Rhinolophus ferrumequinum: one gene and its partner. The protein of the gene in region 2 binds, or shares a complex with, the protein of the main gene of each other region. Links are inferred from orthologs where the notes say so. Each region holds a gene or a part of one and is shown on either strand. Other genes may lie near its edges.

Region 1 (6,739 bases), on a different chromosome or scaffold from region 2:
CTGCCTGTGCTGACTCCAGCCCTCCCCAGGCCATGCGGACCCTCAGCTGGAAGCACACCCTGGGCCTGGTGACCATGGATGTGGAGCTGGCTGACCGCACGCTGTCTGTGGCCGTGACCCCTGTGCAGGCTGTGGTCTTGCTGTATTTCCAGGACCAAGGTGAGCCAACTGCCCAGGCACTGCTTACCCGGGGGGTGGGGGTGGGCAGGACGTGGGCCACCCCTTGCCGTCCCCTCCCCACCGGGCCTAGCCCAGCGTGCCTGGCCGCCCCTGCAGCCAGCTGGACCCTGGAGGAGCTGAGCAAGGTGGTAAAGATGCCGGTGGCCCTGCTGCGACGGCGCATGGCGGTGTGGCTACAGCAGGGCGTGCTGCGGGAGGAGCCTACTGGCACCTTCTCTGTCGTGGAGGAAGAGCGGCCCCAGGACCGTGACAGCATGGTGCTCCTTGACAGCGACGATGACAGTGACTCGGGCATGGCCTCCCAAGCCGACCAGAAGGAGGAGGAGCTGCTGGTGCGCCCATGGGACTGGGGGCGGGGCCGCGAGCAGGGCCACGGGCGGGGCTGACGGCCGCTGTCCCCGCAGCTCTTCTGGACGTACATCCAGGCCATGCTGACCAACCTGGAGAGCCTGTCGCTGGAGCGCATCTACAGCATGCTGCGCATGTTTGTGGTGACGGGCCCCGCGCTCGCTGAGATCGACCTGCAGGAGCTGCAAGGCTTCCTGCAGAAGAAGGTGCGCGAACAGCAGCTCGTCTACGCCGGAGGCGTCTACCGCCTGCCCAAGAGCTGCGGCTGACAGGCTGCCGGCCCTGCCCTGCAGGACGGATAGCCAGGTGCTGCGCACACCCTGCCCGGTCCCCCACTCACTGCCTAGCTCCCAGAGTGCACAGTAAAATGGTTGGTTCTTCATCCTTTCCTTGTCTTGGTGGCTTTGTGGGCCCCTCATGGACACATATACAGGTTCTCCCCCCAGACCAGCCTCTCCACCTCAGCTCCCTGGCCTGCCCGCCTGTGTTTGGGCCCCAAAACACAGTTCTGCATGTGGGTGCCCCCAAGGCCCACCATGCAGGCAGGAGTGAGCACCAGGGCTTAGCTGCACTCTAGCCGCCTACAGCGTGCCAGCTCCAGCCGCACTCATCTGGCCTTTGAAAGGACCCCTTGGGTCACCCTCCCTCTGCATGGCCCGAGGGTCCAGCCCTCAAGGGCTGGGCCAGGAGCCCCAGGGCTGCCGCTGGGACATGTGGGTCCCATTGGAACATTGGAGGCGGCGCAGGCAGGCTGTTTCCTGCTAAGCCAGGAACTTCTTGCACCCCTAAGCGGGATGGGCTGCCTGGGACACGCCCTGTGGTGGGAGGGAGCAGGCATTTGCTGTCCCAAACTAGAGTCAGGCAGCCGCAGTGCTCGGGGCTCACAGTGACATGTGCTTTCGGGAAGGCCACTTACCCCCACTCCCCAGAGGTGTGGTCAGGACGAAGGGCCTGTGAGCCCAGCTGGTCAGCGCAGCACCTTTCCAGGCCCCACCCTCATCCTGAGGTCCCAGAAGGTGGGGGCGTTGGCCCTGCCCAGGCCCCAGGCCTTCAAAGCTGCACCAGGCACCACAGCCTCAGGCAGCAACTGCTCTGGCCTGGTGGCACTGTCCTGGCAGTCGACAGGCCCTGTGGAGGGAGCACCTGCTGCCTGGACAGCCCGCAGTCCCCACAGTCCGGCTCCACAGGGCCCTGAGTGGCACTGTCCCCCAGGATGTCCCCTTCATGCTCCAGAGCATGCTGATTGCCACGGCCTGAGGAGGACACGGTGGGAATGAGGTCATGGCCTCAGCAGTTGGAGGGTTCTGACCCGCCGTCCTCTCCTGTGCTGTGGACCCAAGTGGGGGGCTTCCCACTGTCCCCTGAGTTCTGGGGGAGGCCCGGGCAGTTCTGACACCAACACCCACCGTTGCCTCCAGGCCAGCCCCCACTTGGCACCAGGCTGGATGTTCCTTTGTCTTCCTAACCAGGATGCAAACCGGTTGGACTGGTCTGGCAAGGTGTCAGTGCCAGCCCCGGGCACAGGCACACCTGGTCTTTCTCCCTTTGAACTTGGTCTGGGGACGAGTGTGGTATAACCCAGCGTGTCTTGGGTCACAGCATCATTCAGCAGGCACAGTGGAGTGTCAGGAGCTGCTGGTTGGCAGGTCCCCGAAGACCCCACCAGAAGGCGTCCCCAGCCCTGTGGGGTCAGCCGTGGGGGGGGCACTTCCTCTTGCTGCCCGGGTCGTTGGAGGGGGTGGTGCGGAAGAGCAGGGAGGAGGCTGACCACACCGGCCTGCAGGCGAGTGCTTGCCTGGTCTGCAGGACGCCTCATGGGACAGACTCTCTCAGGGGTGGCAGGCAGGTGCTGAGGAGGCACTGGGCTCTGACATTGAAGCTGGAGCCTCGAACGCTGCCTGCAGCCATTTCTGAGCCACCTGCCCCGAGAGCAGAGTGTTCTGGGAAGACCTGTGAGCAGCAACGCACACACACCTCCTGGGGGATGGTGGATCCCCTGGGAGGCCGTCCAGCCCCGGGCATTGCTGGGGTATGGGTGGGACCCTCCTCAACACAGCCAGTGTGGGGGCAGCAGGTGCAGCTCCCCCACTGGCCAGTCTCAGCCCCTGCTTGTCCCAGCCTTGGGGGAAGGGTGGTGACATCAGCCAGCTGGAGCCCAGGCTTCACCCTTGTCCTGAGAGACACTGAGGCCAGGGGCTGCCTGCTGTAGACCTCCCTGGGTTTCTGGGCCACTGTGTTCACGACCTCGCTCGCCCCCTTCCCTATGAAGCACCATCCCCACAAGACCAGGGCAGCCCCCACCCCATTGCCTCTGCCTCAGACCTGGCCAGGAGACAGGAGTGGCTCCTAGGCCCCATCCACCCTATCTGCCCCACCCCGGGACTGCCTGCCCAGGGTTCCTGGAATCCCAGTGCACCCCAGGGCGAGTGAAGCTCCAGCAGAGGCCCTGCCCCCACCCTGCCTGCCTCACAGCCTCACTGTGAGGTCAGCGCCTTCCGAGGAGTTCCACCAGAGGTGTGTGGTGAGGCTGGGGCTGGACATGGCCCCCTGTCCCCGGCCTGTCCCCGGCCTGGTCGGCAGCCCCCTTGGCCTGATATGTTTGTCCCTTTTGCTCTTCCCTGCTGCAGGTGCTTCCTCCAGCCCCTGAACCCCACCCCCAGCCAGGGTCCCTCCCTGTCCAGGCAGGCTGGGCACACTGTCTCCTGGTGGCCAAACGGGGTTGGGGGTGGCCCTGGGGGTCCTCCACCAGCAGGTGACCACAGCCCCTTGGCCACACGGGTGCTGTTTCTGCAGCTGGAACCTACTGCGAATGCGGCCTTGGCCTCAGCCGTGAGGCCCTCATTGCCTTGCTCGTGGTGCTGGCTGGGATCAGCGCCAGCTGCTTCTTTGCCCTCGTCATCGTGGCGGTCGGTGTCATTCGAGCCAAGGGGTGTGTGAGCCCCAGGGCCGGGATGAGTGGGTGAGGGCTGAAGGGCAGCATGGTCTGCCCACCCTGGGCCCTCAGTCTTCCCAGGAAAAGGGCGTCTGCCCCCACACCCAGTGGGGCACAGGGGCCCAGGCATGGCATTCCCAGACTGTGGGCTGGGGAGAGGTGTGAGGGGCAACTCTGGGCTCCTGGAGCCCAGCCCTGTTGTTCTAGGATTCACACCTGCCTTTGTCTCCCCAGTGAAACATGCCCCGGACACATGGACAGAAGGTGAGTGACCCCAAGGGAGGACCACAAGGGTGAGCTGTGCCCCTGCTCCCTGCCCCCAGGAGCACTGATCAGAGGGCCCAGCCACCCCAGGTGGCCAAGACCTCGTGAGCCCATGTGGACGGCCGCCCACAGCCAGCCTGACCTGGCCCCTGTCGTGCAGATTGGTGGGGCGCTTTGGAGTCCAGGAAGACCGCATGGACCTGCAGACGGTGCACGTGGAGTCCCACCTCATGGACCCAGACCTGGAGGTCTCCAGGATGCCGCCCCTGGAGGAGCAGGGCCTAATGGCCATCCCTATGGACTCAGTGGTCCCATCTGCCACTCTAGAGGAGCTATCCTGTCCTCCCCCACCTGAGTAGGGCTGCGGGCAGCTGGGGGAAGGGGCATTAAACAGTATTTAGTGGTTCTGCGCTGTGCAGCTGCGTCACGGGGTGAAGAGGGGTCTGTGGGCCGCTCTGTCAACTCCTTTCTCGTCAATGGGGGTGCAGTGTCCACACCAAGCACCGCTGTCTCCCCTCCAGAGTGGGAGCCACACCCTGGTGTTTCCACTTCCTCCTGCAGTGGCCTCAGTACAGCTCCTCCCCACATCACATCTTCCTGCTGCTCTGTCCCATGAAGCTGGCAGAGATTCTGAGCCCGTCCACCCCGCCCCCACTCTCAGAAAACCCCAGTACACAACCTGCAACTGTGCCACTCCAGAGGGAGCAGCGCTTGACACGAGGACTTGGGCTGGTGCCCCTGCCCCACCTACACTGTCCCCTTGAGATTCCAGGCAAGTTCTTAGCCGGGTGACTGCCTCCCGGCACAGCCTGCCAGCCTATCCCCTGGGCTCAGGCCCCCATCGTGCTCATGCCCCCACCAATCCTGCACCAAGAGGATGGGTCCATCCCATGTGGGGGGCACTGTATGTGCACTAGGCTCAATTATCTGAGCTGGAAACTGGGGTGAGGGGCAGGGCCCACTGCGTCCTGTTCTGCGCTGCACCCATGGTGGGTGGTGTGTGTATGGGAGTGGGTGTGAGATCCAGCTGTTCAGGCTTCAGCGGATGGTGGATTACGCAGGGGGCGAGGGCGACTTGTAGCACCGCTTCTGACGTGGAGCCAAGAGAAGCCCCGAGCTCCAAGCTCCGGACAGGTGCTGCGAGCTGGCTAAGTGCCCAGCCCCGCCCTAGGCGGGACCAGCCGCGGGACAGGAACTGCCAGCGCTCGGGCCGGAGAGTTATTTGTACCAGCGCCGCAGGTACGGACGGCCCTCAGGGACACACGAGAAGCAGGCCTCCCACCGCGGGTCCCAAGGCTGCTCCCATGCCGAGTCCCTCCTCTCTGTCGCGGCGCCCGCCGCCGCTGTTACTGCTGCTGCTGTCGCTGTGGTCAGTCTGGGCTCAAGTGCCCGTCGCAGCCACCCCCACGGCAACCCCGGGCTCCCCGGACTGCCCCGAGGCGTGCGCGTGCGCGCCGGGCGGCCAGGCCAACTGCTCGGGAAGAGCGCTGTCCGCGGTGCCCGTGGGCCTGAGTCGGCGCGTGCGCGCGCTGCTGCTGGACCACAACCACGTGCGCGCGCTGCCGTCCCGAGCCTTCGTGGGCTCTGACGCGCTGCGGCACCTGGACCTGCGCGAGAATGGGCTGCGCTGGGTGCACGCGCGGGCCTTTTGGGGCCTGGGCGTGCTGCAGCAGCTCGACCTCAGCGCCAACCAGCTGGAGGCGCTGGCGCCTGGTACCTTCGCGTCGCTGCGCGCGCTGCGCGCCCTCTCGCTAGCCAACAACCGGTTGGCGCTCCTGGAACCCGCGGCGTTGGGTGCACTCCCGCTGCTGCACGCGCTCAGCTTGCAGGACAACGAGCTGTCTGAGCTCGCGCCCAATCTGCTGGCCGGCCTGCCGTCTCTCAACGCGCTGCGCCTGCGCGGCAACCCCTGGGCCTGCGGCTGCGCGCTGCGCCCGCTCTGCGCCTGGCTGCGCCGGCACCCGCAGCCAGCGCCAGGTGAGCCCTCGGGGCGCAGGCGGGCCGGGGAGGTCACTGCAGCTGCCCCGCCGCTGCTTGACGCCGTGCCCATGTTCCGCAGAAGCCGAGACATTGGTCTGCGTGTCGCCGGGGCGCCTGACGCTCAGCCCCTTGACTGCCTTCTCCGACGCCGCCTTCAGCCACTGCGTGCAGCCACTCGCACCGTGGGACCTGGCGGTGATCTACGCGCTCGGGCCGGTCTCCTTCCTCACCAGCCTGGCCACCTGCCTAGCGCTGGGCTCGGTGTTCACCGCCTGCCGCGCGCGCCGCAGGCGCCGCGCCGCCGCCAGCCGCCCACGGAGGCGACCTCTGAACTCCGACGTCGGCTGGGCCTCGCCTGCAGACCCTGGGAGCCCCGCTGCCGCCGCTCAAGTCTGAATGGGCCGTGGCTGCCCTCCAGTCTTTCCCCTCTCCCCTGCCCTCCTTCACAGTCCCTGCAGGCGTCAACAAGCGACACAGACCGAACATTTCGTGACATTCTTTTAGGCATCACCACTGCACACACCGGGTCAGGGGAACGGTGCGGTGCGCGCCAGGCCCCTGGGGCGGAGGGTCAGCGTGCGGCTGCAAAAGGGCCGCAGGGGAAGGCACGGGCTCGGACACGGGAAGGGCTGGGCCTGTACAAGGTGGCGCGCAGGGCTGAGGACAGTCCCGAGCCAGCGACTAGGGAAGCGCATGTTGTGCTGCATGCCGGTGGAGGCGAAGAGAAGGCTCAGTCCTCTTGGAGTCTGGAGAAGGTCTGGAGAAGGTCGGAGGCAGCGGGAAGGAGGCGGAGCAAGGCCCTAGGAAGCCGCTGCCAGCTGGGGAGTCAGGCTCTGCCCTTGGGGAAGGGCAGAGCCAGTTCAGTGAATGGGGTCAAGTGGAGAAAGGGGAGGGTAAGAAGAGGAGCAGGAGTGGAGCCGAGGCTGTGCGGAGTGGGCGCTGCAGCAGGGGGTGACCCAGCCAGCAGGGGCCACAGGCCCCGACCGTGGCTCTGGTGGTGGCTGGGGGAGGATGGGGGCTTCAGTCTCTGCTCCA
Region 2 (7,991 bases):
CATGACTGCAGTAAAAATACAGATCTCCGGGGTAGACAGAAACCCTTATAAAAGGCCTAAGTTATTATTACTGGGTCTAATGAGTTGGCTCCACTAGGTTTAATTGAACAGATTAAGGGGCAAGTATTAAGAGATTCTAAGCATGGTTTAAAATGAACTTTAACGGTATCAAAAGTGACCTGATTCACATCGGCCTCACAGATTCCCAGCCAACGGCAAGCATCTCTCATCCCAGGCTGATTCCTTGTAGAAACTTCCAGTTATGTCAACTCCGCAGGTCTCGGAACTACAAACTATAGTCTAATATGTAGGGATTGTTTTTGCTAACGATAATTGCCAAAAACCTATTTTCTGGAGAAAACTGACAGAAGTTATGCTTGGTCATCATTTAGGAAAGAGACTCTTTATGTGAACAGTACAATTAGCATTTCATCACAGGCAATGCAGTGGCACCGATGAAGCCCCTAGAGCGAGAAAACTTAGAGACTGTTCAAAACACCAGAATCACAAAAACACTTTCAAAGTATATTGCGACTCACTGAAAAAAAGTTACCACCTCGTTCCTTACCAGATAAGGAGTCTGTTAAAAAGTTCACCAGAATCACTCAGTGTAGAGAACATTTTAGATTTGCACAACTATGAGCTATCTTTCCCCTAAGGGCAGACACTGAATCTCAGTAAAGGAAAATAAACTCCAGGGCTGAAGACTGTGGGGGAGGTGGAGGAGAGGAAACGGGTGGATAAAAAGACTATGAATAAGTGCTTATTAGGTAGGCGAGGCAAGGGGCATGGTCTCAGGGTCTCATGGGTAGGATTCTGCGTAATCTGACAGCTTCTCTGGAATGCGTGAGGTTTTCCACCTTGACAAGTAAGGAGAAACCTCTGTGGCTGAGATGGCAACTCCAAAGAGAACTGGCTAGGCAACCGCTGGAGGTTTCCGGAGGAGGAAGAGAGTGATGGCTTTTATTTTTCTCCCTTTATTTCCAATACACCAGTATTTTCCAAAACACAAATGTGCTGCCACAAAACACAGCTGAACTCCAGCACCCAACACCATGTATAATTAATGTTTAGGAGAGGGAGCTTTGGCTCACCCTCATGTGTCACCCACAGCCCCTGGCTTCCCTACTATTTCCTGAAGCAACTAAAGAGGCTGCGACAAGTTGCTGTGCCCTGTAGGAGTTTGAGGGGTCCTTGAATTAACTTTCCTAGAAAAGCTGTGAACATTCTGAGGGAGAGCTGCCTCTGCCTTGCACTGTTCTCCTACTCCCCTTGGGCTCCCCTTGCTCTGAAAATACTGGCACTGGGAAGTCCCTAGGATAGGAATTACTCAAACAGAGGATAGCTTGGGTCACTCTTTTTTCCAGTTCTTTCTTTTTTCATTCTGCAGTTTTCTATGAAAAACTGCCCCCACCCCTCACCTTCAGCCAGCGGGGGGAAAAGAGGACATCTGTAGGGACCTGGCAGTAGACCAGGCAGTCAGCCTAGCAACCATACATAACGTGTAGTGAGCCTCAGTGCTGGTGGGCGTCTCTGCGCCGCCAGGAATAGCCTAACCCGACATCCAGCCACCTCAAAAGCGTCAGAGAGGAGGCTCCGCGTGAAACCCCGGCCTTGGCCGGCTCTCCCGCGGACCTTCCGCTCCAGCTCCACGCTGCTGGTGGCATTTCCAAGGTCCTGAGGGGGTGGCGTGGGGGCGAGAATACAGATGCACCAGAACTTGAGGTGGGGAGTATGTTCCACGAGAATCTCTCAAAGGATGGACAGGGAGGTGACAGCAGATGTGCGACCTCACCACACTCCTAAAGTGGCCGCCTCCATGGTTGCCTCCAAAACTGGGTGCATCTCCCCAACTTTCTTTTGACCCCCAGACCCTCCCCACTTCCTCTGGCCATGTTCTTCCCCCGGGATTCCCTAGTCCAAAAGGTTTGCTTCCTTGCCCAAAGGATTTTCCCTTCCTTCTGACTCCACTAACTCATCTCCCCAACAGGTTTCTAAAGTGCGGGCTGATGTGCTCGCCCTCGCCCACCGCCAGAAGCCCGGCCGCGGCAGGTGAGCCGTGCGATACACGCACCCAGCGGCCCCCAGCTTTCTGGGCGCCCGCGGGGTTGGCTCTCCCTACCCCAAACCACAGCACCCGAACGGCGCGCGTCCCCGACCCCGGCCCGGGCCGCAGCCGCAAACAGCCCTACAATAAACAAGGGGTCAGGATTGGAGATCCGCGTCCAGGGGCGCACCGGTTAGGGGCAGCTCCTCACCCCCGGCGCGCCGCCCGCTGTCCCAATCCGAAGGCGCAGGGACAGCGGAGGGAAGGGAGGGCGGCAGGGGACGGCAGGCAGGGATGGAGGGAGGCTCGGCGCCGTGAGGAGCGAGGAGGTGGGCTGCCGGGGACGCCGAGGAGCGGCGGGGCTGGCGCAAGGGGCGGGAGCCGGGGCGCGCCTTACCTTCGTCTTGCCCCCGCAGTGGCAGCAAACGGTCCACAGGTACTTGAGCGTCCGCCAGAGCAGGATGATGAAGAGGCCCCCGAAGAAAGTCACCATGGAGGAGGCCAGGAAAGCCCACCACATGCGCTGGCCACGGCTGTCGCACGGCACCTCCATGGTCACAGGGATGATGAGCGCATCCATCTTGGGCTCGTGGACCGAGGACGAGGAGGAAGAGGAGGAGGATGAAGAAGAGGAGGAAGAGGAGGACGCGTCTAGGCTGAGATGGTTCGCGTGGATATTGCTACTCATTCTAAGACTGTTGCCTCCGCCGCCACCGCCGCCGCCGCCGCTGCTGCCGCCGCCGCCGCCACCATTTGCCATAGCTAGCAACGGGCAGCCGGCGCAGGGGCTCGGGGGAGCTCCTCCCGCCGCCAGCGCCACCCCGAACACCCATCAACAGCCATATTGCTGCTACTGCTGCCGCCGCCGCGGAGCGCGGGGAGGGGGGCGGGGAGGCGCCTGGGCTCGGGGCGCTGTGCGCGACCTGGCGGGGTGCGCGGAGATATATACAGCCAGCCGCCGCCGCCCGCCCTCCCCCAGGCCGCCGGCCCGCCCGCCCGGGGGGGAGGGGGATGGAGCGCGCGGGCAGCTCCCCTCCCCGGCCCGCGCCCCTCTCGCCCCGGGCTGCGCTGGCCCCTAGCGCAGAAAGCGAGGGGACGCCGTGGGCCGCCCGCGCCCGGGGTCTGCACCGCCCCCGGGCCCGCCCCGGCTCAGCGCGCGGGCCCGGGTGCCCCGGCTGCCGCGCCGCCTGCCGTGCGCCACGCGTGTGCGCTGTGCTCCGGCCCGAGACCCCCGCCCCGCGCGCCGCCCGCGCCGCCCGCGCCGCTAACGAGCGGCTCTTAGCTTATTAGGCGGCAACTCGTTAATAATGCATAATCAGCCCCCTCCGCTCGGAAGCCCCGCGCCAGCCCTCCTCCCCCTGCTGCGCTCGCCACCCCCGTGCGCACTGGGCCGCGGCAGGTTCACCGCGTCCGGTCGCCGGGCGCCGCCGCCGCTAGTCCATGCTCCCTGAGCGCATCGCCACCCGGCTGAGCCTCCTCGGCCTCCGCTCGTTCTTCCTCGCTTCCTCAGTCTCCTCCTCGTCCCCGTCCTCGCCACCCAAGCCTCTTCGGCGCGCGCCCCGCGCTCCCCGCGGCCGCCAGCAGCGGCAGCTGCAGCTGCAGCAACTAGAACGGGCGCGGACTCTACCGCCCGAAGCGGGAGGGAAGGAGGCTCACAGCGCTGGTTCGCTTAGGCTGGACGGGGCAGGCTGACCCCTCGGCACGCACTCCTGACCCCCAGTGCGCGAGATGGAGCACCCCAAGCCCAGAGCGGGACCCGGCACCTCTCTCCAGTGTGCTCCCCCCTCCGCACCACCACACCCCCGCAGAGCGCCCTGGGGGACCCGAAGAGGTTGGCCGGGCCCCCATGGCAAGCCATTTTTCCCAAAGGAGACCGTAGCGTGGAGGGGAGGAATGACCAGCTGTGGACTCGATTCCACAGGATCCTCGGGCTCAGGATCCTCGGGCTTCGGGAGTGAGGAGGACCCTTCTTCAAGATACACACCCTAGTTCGACCCCTACTGATCCCTAGTTCGTTCTTTCGTTCCCCCTTCATAGGTGCTCTAGTGCCAGGTGCATGGCTGGAAGGCAGGGCCATCCCAGAGGCTGGCGGGTGGTCTGTGGCCTTGACAGCAGCAGGTGGTTTTTCTGCCTTTTCCCAATGAAAGGGACAGAGGCTGCCTACGAGGGTATCCAGAGAGGGGTAGGGGGTGCCTGGCCTCAGGGGCTGTGCAGGCTCCAATAGGCAATAGAGTTTCCTAAAGTCACTTTCTTTTATCTAGCTTCAGACTTCATCATGTGAGGAGGGCAGCTGCGAGAAGAGGTGCTCCAGGCTCCACTCAAGTCCACCTTTCCCCGCTTAGGGTCTTCCTTTCTCCCTCTTAAAGATGAAGGAGTCGGGTGTGTTAAACAGCCTCTATCATTTCACCACCAGGGTAATCCCCCTTCTGATACTCTAAGAAACCGGCTCCCTCTGGAAACCGCCCTTCTTCCTTGGGCTACCAGCTGGACCACAAGCTTTTCCAGTGCTCGTTAAAAGGAAGATGGTCACATTCTCCCCTCATTGCCCACAATGGTTTCCCCAAAGTTTCCAGCTCATTAATTTAGGCTTAATTGGAATTCTCAAGTTCCTTTCAGCCCTTCCTGTGATGAGGGCGAACTTAGCATCCTTCACTGTATAGGCCAATGCTGTTTCTGCCTGAGCCAGATTTCAGCCCCTCCCCTCGCCCTTGGAGGCCCTGGGATGCAGGGCAGGACCTGGCGAGGGAAGCCCAGCTGGGCAGAGAGGCTGAAGGGGATGTGTGAAGCTTCTCCTGCTATTCGGCATACGTTCACTGGTCTCAGGAAACACATCCATTAGAAAAGAGTCAAAGCCAAGGTCAAAGGGGGAAGTGGAATGAGGTAGAATTCTCCAGTGTTTGGTACTCAAAAGCAGTATGTAAAATGGAGCTACACACAGTATTTTCCAGAAACTGAAATTGTCTGTCACCCGTTTGGTACCTCCAGCCTCGTCTTCCACGTTCAGCAGCCACTCGGAACACATCCCTGTTCAATCCATCCTACACATGCAAAGGCCCGGGGTCTTTCCAGCACTGGGTTGGGGAGAGGTCGCCTGGGGGTCACCTGTAGAAGTGCTGTGGGGATGCACAAGAAAGTGACGATGGCCTTGAGGTTCCCTGATTTTATTAGCCTTCTAAAGGACTGTACTTTGCTGCCTTTGGGCCTCCGTATATGTCAGGAAATTTAAAGACTTTCCTTAAATCAAGTCCAAGATTTGAAATTTAAAAACGAAACATCCATAATATAAGAGCAGCAAAGAACGGTTTCCCCAGGGGCATATAAAACCCCCAGAATGGATTCCCTCCCTCACAAAATTGAGCTTTGCAAACCACCGAATCCCCTCCAGGCTTTCCTGGACTTCCCCCACAGCCTGGGTTCCCCTGAAATGCAGTCTGGGGCTCCTAGCAGCAGGCCACTGGTTGCTGTGACTTCTATTGCTCCAAATGCGAAATCCTCCAGCTGTGTTTCTCTTCCACCATCACCTTCATCATCTCATCATCCTTTCAGAACATGCCGGGAGGCTCCTAGCCATCATCTGCTCTCTTCATCACCCCTGTCTGTGCTGATTGAAGATTTTAGCAACTTCTGCGTTATCTAAAACCTAGGTTTAGTTGGTATTCATCAGAGACCTTCACTGTCAAAGTCATTCCTGCAATCCCCAGTCCCTCAACACCTTCCCAAGAGCTTTCACTGGTAGGCGCTGAATGAGACAGTGCCATCATCCACCAGAAATAAACCTCCTCAGACCTTTGCCCAGCTCTCTCCTGCTCCTTCCTTCTCATCCACAAACGTCTGTGCCAGGTTCAGTAAACTTGGCACTGGTTTCTTTCACCAACTGAGGAAGAGTTTCTACCCAGACAAGATGGAACATCAAACTTAAAAGGAACCCTCGGTACCTTTCATTCATTGTGTTTCCTCATTTGTAAAGCGGAATAAAACCAGGAACTGCCCTGCCCACCTCAGAGGGTCATTTGTAAGGATGAAAAAGAAAATATGTAGATCTTGTTACTGTGACCCCAAAACAGCCAAACTCGGACCAGATCCTCTCCCCCACAAGGGCAGGATCCACCACACCCCGAGGGCAGGATTATTGCTACCTGTCCCCACTTTGCTGTCCTGCACCCCCAAGAGGCCAGTGACTGCTTCACTCTGCCAGTGACACTACGGCCCCTAGGGCCTCACAGACAGCCAGGTGTGGACAGGGCATCGCAGAGCCACTCCAGCCTGAGTGGGCCCTCTGAACCCTGACACGTATGCCCACGCATTGCCTTCCCACTGCCCCAGGCGGCTTCGGAAATGCAAAGAATGTGGAAAAACACCTATGAATAACCCCGGTACATTTCACCTCTTGCAGGTGTGTCTGCAAACTGGGACTGAAAGGCACAGGACTGAAAGCCTAAACTACAAGAGACATTTCAACCTCCTCTGTTCTGAAAACAATACGGGCCACTTACTTATTTCTAAATACATTTATAAGCGTCTCAGAGAGGAGGTCGGCCTCTTTATCATGTGAACATGTGCCTGTGGCAGCTTTCAAAGCAAACCAAGGTTTCAAGTTTCCAAAGAATTCTAATCTGAACTATCCCAATTGATCTAAAGGACATAAATAAAAGTGCACCAACATGAACTGAAAAAGCGGGGTGACTAGAGTAATAACCCAGGAGGACAAAGCAGCTTATTTAATTAAATGTCAGCCCAACATCATAATTAATGTAGTCCGGATTTCGTTTATCTGGGGCCTGGAACCAGTTCCAAAATTTCTATTGTATAGGCTTTCAGTCCTTGTGCAATGGCCCTTAATTCCCAGCCTGCAGACACACCTTACATGAGATGAAATGTAATGGCTGCAGCAGAGCGCAGGAGTTACTGGCTTCAGTTCTCATTCTGACTTAAATCTTTGTGATTTTCTGGGGTAAAGTCGGGCGGACTCTGTAAGTGGTCTAGCGCCCTCTGGTGAGTCTTCCCGGTACAAGACATCATTTTGTGAATGTGAAAAGGGGTATTACTGAAACAAAAATTGGATTTGAAAATTCCAAAGAGAAAAGCCCTGCTATAAAAACATGCAACCAAAATAATATTAATTGAGAGAACGTGGTGAGAAGCGGAGCACGGCTTTCTATTCTGGGCCCCTCCAGGCCCTCCGGCCTCGGGCTGGGAGGTGAGCTGGGGGGGCCCAGGGACAGGCCGCAGGCTCTGTCCTGCAGAGACCCAGACCCCTTCCGAGCCGCGGTTGCCCACTGGCTGGGCCCAGGCCTTGAAGCAGCAGCGAACCTCTCGCCCTACCCCCACCTCCATCTCCGCGACCTGATGGCGGCGCTTCTCTGATCGCACATCCCACCGATCGCCTGGTCTCCTGGCCCAACCCTGCGGGGCCTAGGCGAAGCCCCGCCAAGCGTTTGAGCGAAGGGCGTGGAGGGGCGAAAAGAATGGCGGCCACTCGAATGCCGCGGAGGGCCGTTAGGACCGTCGGGGGTCCCAGAAGGCGGGTCTACGTGGTCGCAAGCTGGCCCACCCTTAGGCCTTCGAGCCGCGCAGATGCAGGACTTGGGGTAACTCCTCTAACCCAGTTGGATGAGATCTCACCTCGCACAGACAACGACGGACAAAGGCCATAATGGGCCCGGAAGGTGAGCAGAAAGGACCCAGTCGACGACGGGTGGAAGGGTTAGTGGGCCATCGGGCGGTTGGTCTTCGTTCTACCAGACCTTGATTACGGAAGAAAGAAAAGGCACAACAATATACCACAGTTGGCCAACAGGAAGTGCCCACCACCCTTTGGGAAGATTTACTGGCCGTATATAGAAGGCCTGTGTATATAATATGAAAAAGCTGCTCCCAACTTTACCCCCCAACCTTTCAAAAGAAAACTGCTACATCTAGGCCTTTAGATGTAAAGAGGTTGCCG

The links. The genes of interacting proteins can lie anywhere in the genome.
Region 1: the proteins of KCNMA1 (region 2) and LRRC26 are in contact, whole or in part, in a cryo-EM structure (PDB 7YNZ), measured with the Homo sapiens proteins. The link is inferred for Rhinolophus ferrumequinum from reciprocal best matches to the Homo sapiens genes KCNMA1 and LRRC26. Residues at the interface, in NP_001154824.1 of Homo sapiens: Pro78, Cys79, Asp80, Ser81, Arg82, Gln84, Trp88, Ala92, Ser93, Val96, Thr97, Glu155, Trp158, Met159, Ser161, Val162, Trp165, Cys206, Leu226, Leu227, Phe229, Gly230, Leu231, Phe233, Ile234, Asp251, Phe252, Pro256, Phe259, Val260; in NP_001013675.1 of Homo sapiens: Gly204, Cys205, Gly206, Cys207, Ala208, Arg236, Leu237, Ala249, Phe250, His252, Cys253, Ala254, Gln255, Leu257, Arg260, Asp261, Leu262, Val264, Val265, Tyr266, Leu268, Gly269, Pro270, Ser272, Phe273, Ser276, Leu277, Cys280, Leu281, Leu283.

The regions. Positions count from the first base shown.
Region 1 is NC_046295.1:83,281,632-83,288,370, reverse strand, and holds LRRC26 (leucine-rich repeat-containing protein 26), read left to right. Parts: upstream 1-4,597; 5' UTR 4,598-4,710; coding exon 4,711-5,701; intron 5,702-5,783; coding exon 5,784-6,100; 3' UTR 6,101-6,238; downstream 6,239-6,739. Other genes in the region: ANAPC2 (anaphase-promoting complex subunit 2), read left to right, coding at 30-159, 277-512, 585-797; TMEM210 (transmembrane protein 210), read left to right, coding at 3,068-3,155, 3,322-3,457, 3,695-3,724, 3,885-4,083. UniProt on the Homo sapiens protein: Auxiliary protein of the large-conductance, voltage and calcium-activated potassium channel (BK alpha). Required for the conversion of BK alpha channels from a high-voltage to a low-voltage activated channel type in non-excitable cells.
Region 2 is NC_046299.1:54,351,356-54,359,346, forward strand, and holds the start of KCNMA1 (calcium-activated potassium channel subunit alpha-1), read right to left. Parts: upstream 3,004-7,991; 5' UTR 2,808-3,003; coding exon 2,445-2,807; intron 1-2,444. UniProt on the Homo sapiens protein: Potassium channel activated by both membrane depolarization or increase in cytosolic Ca(2+) that mediates export of K(+). It is also activated by the concentration of cytosolic Mg(2+).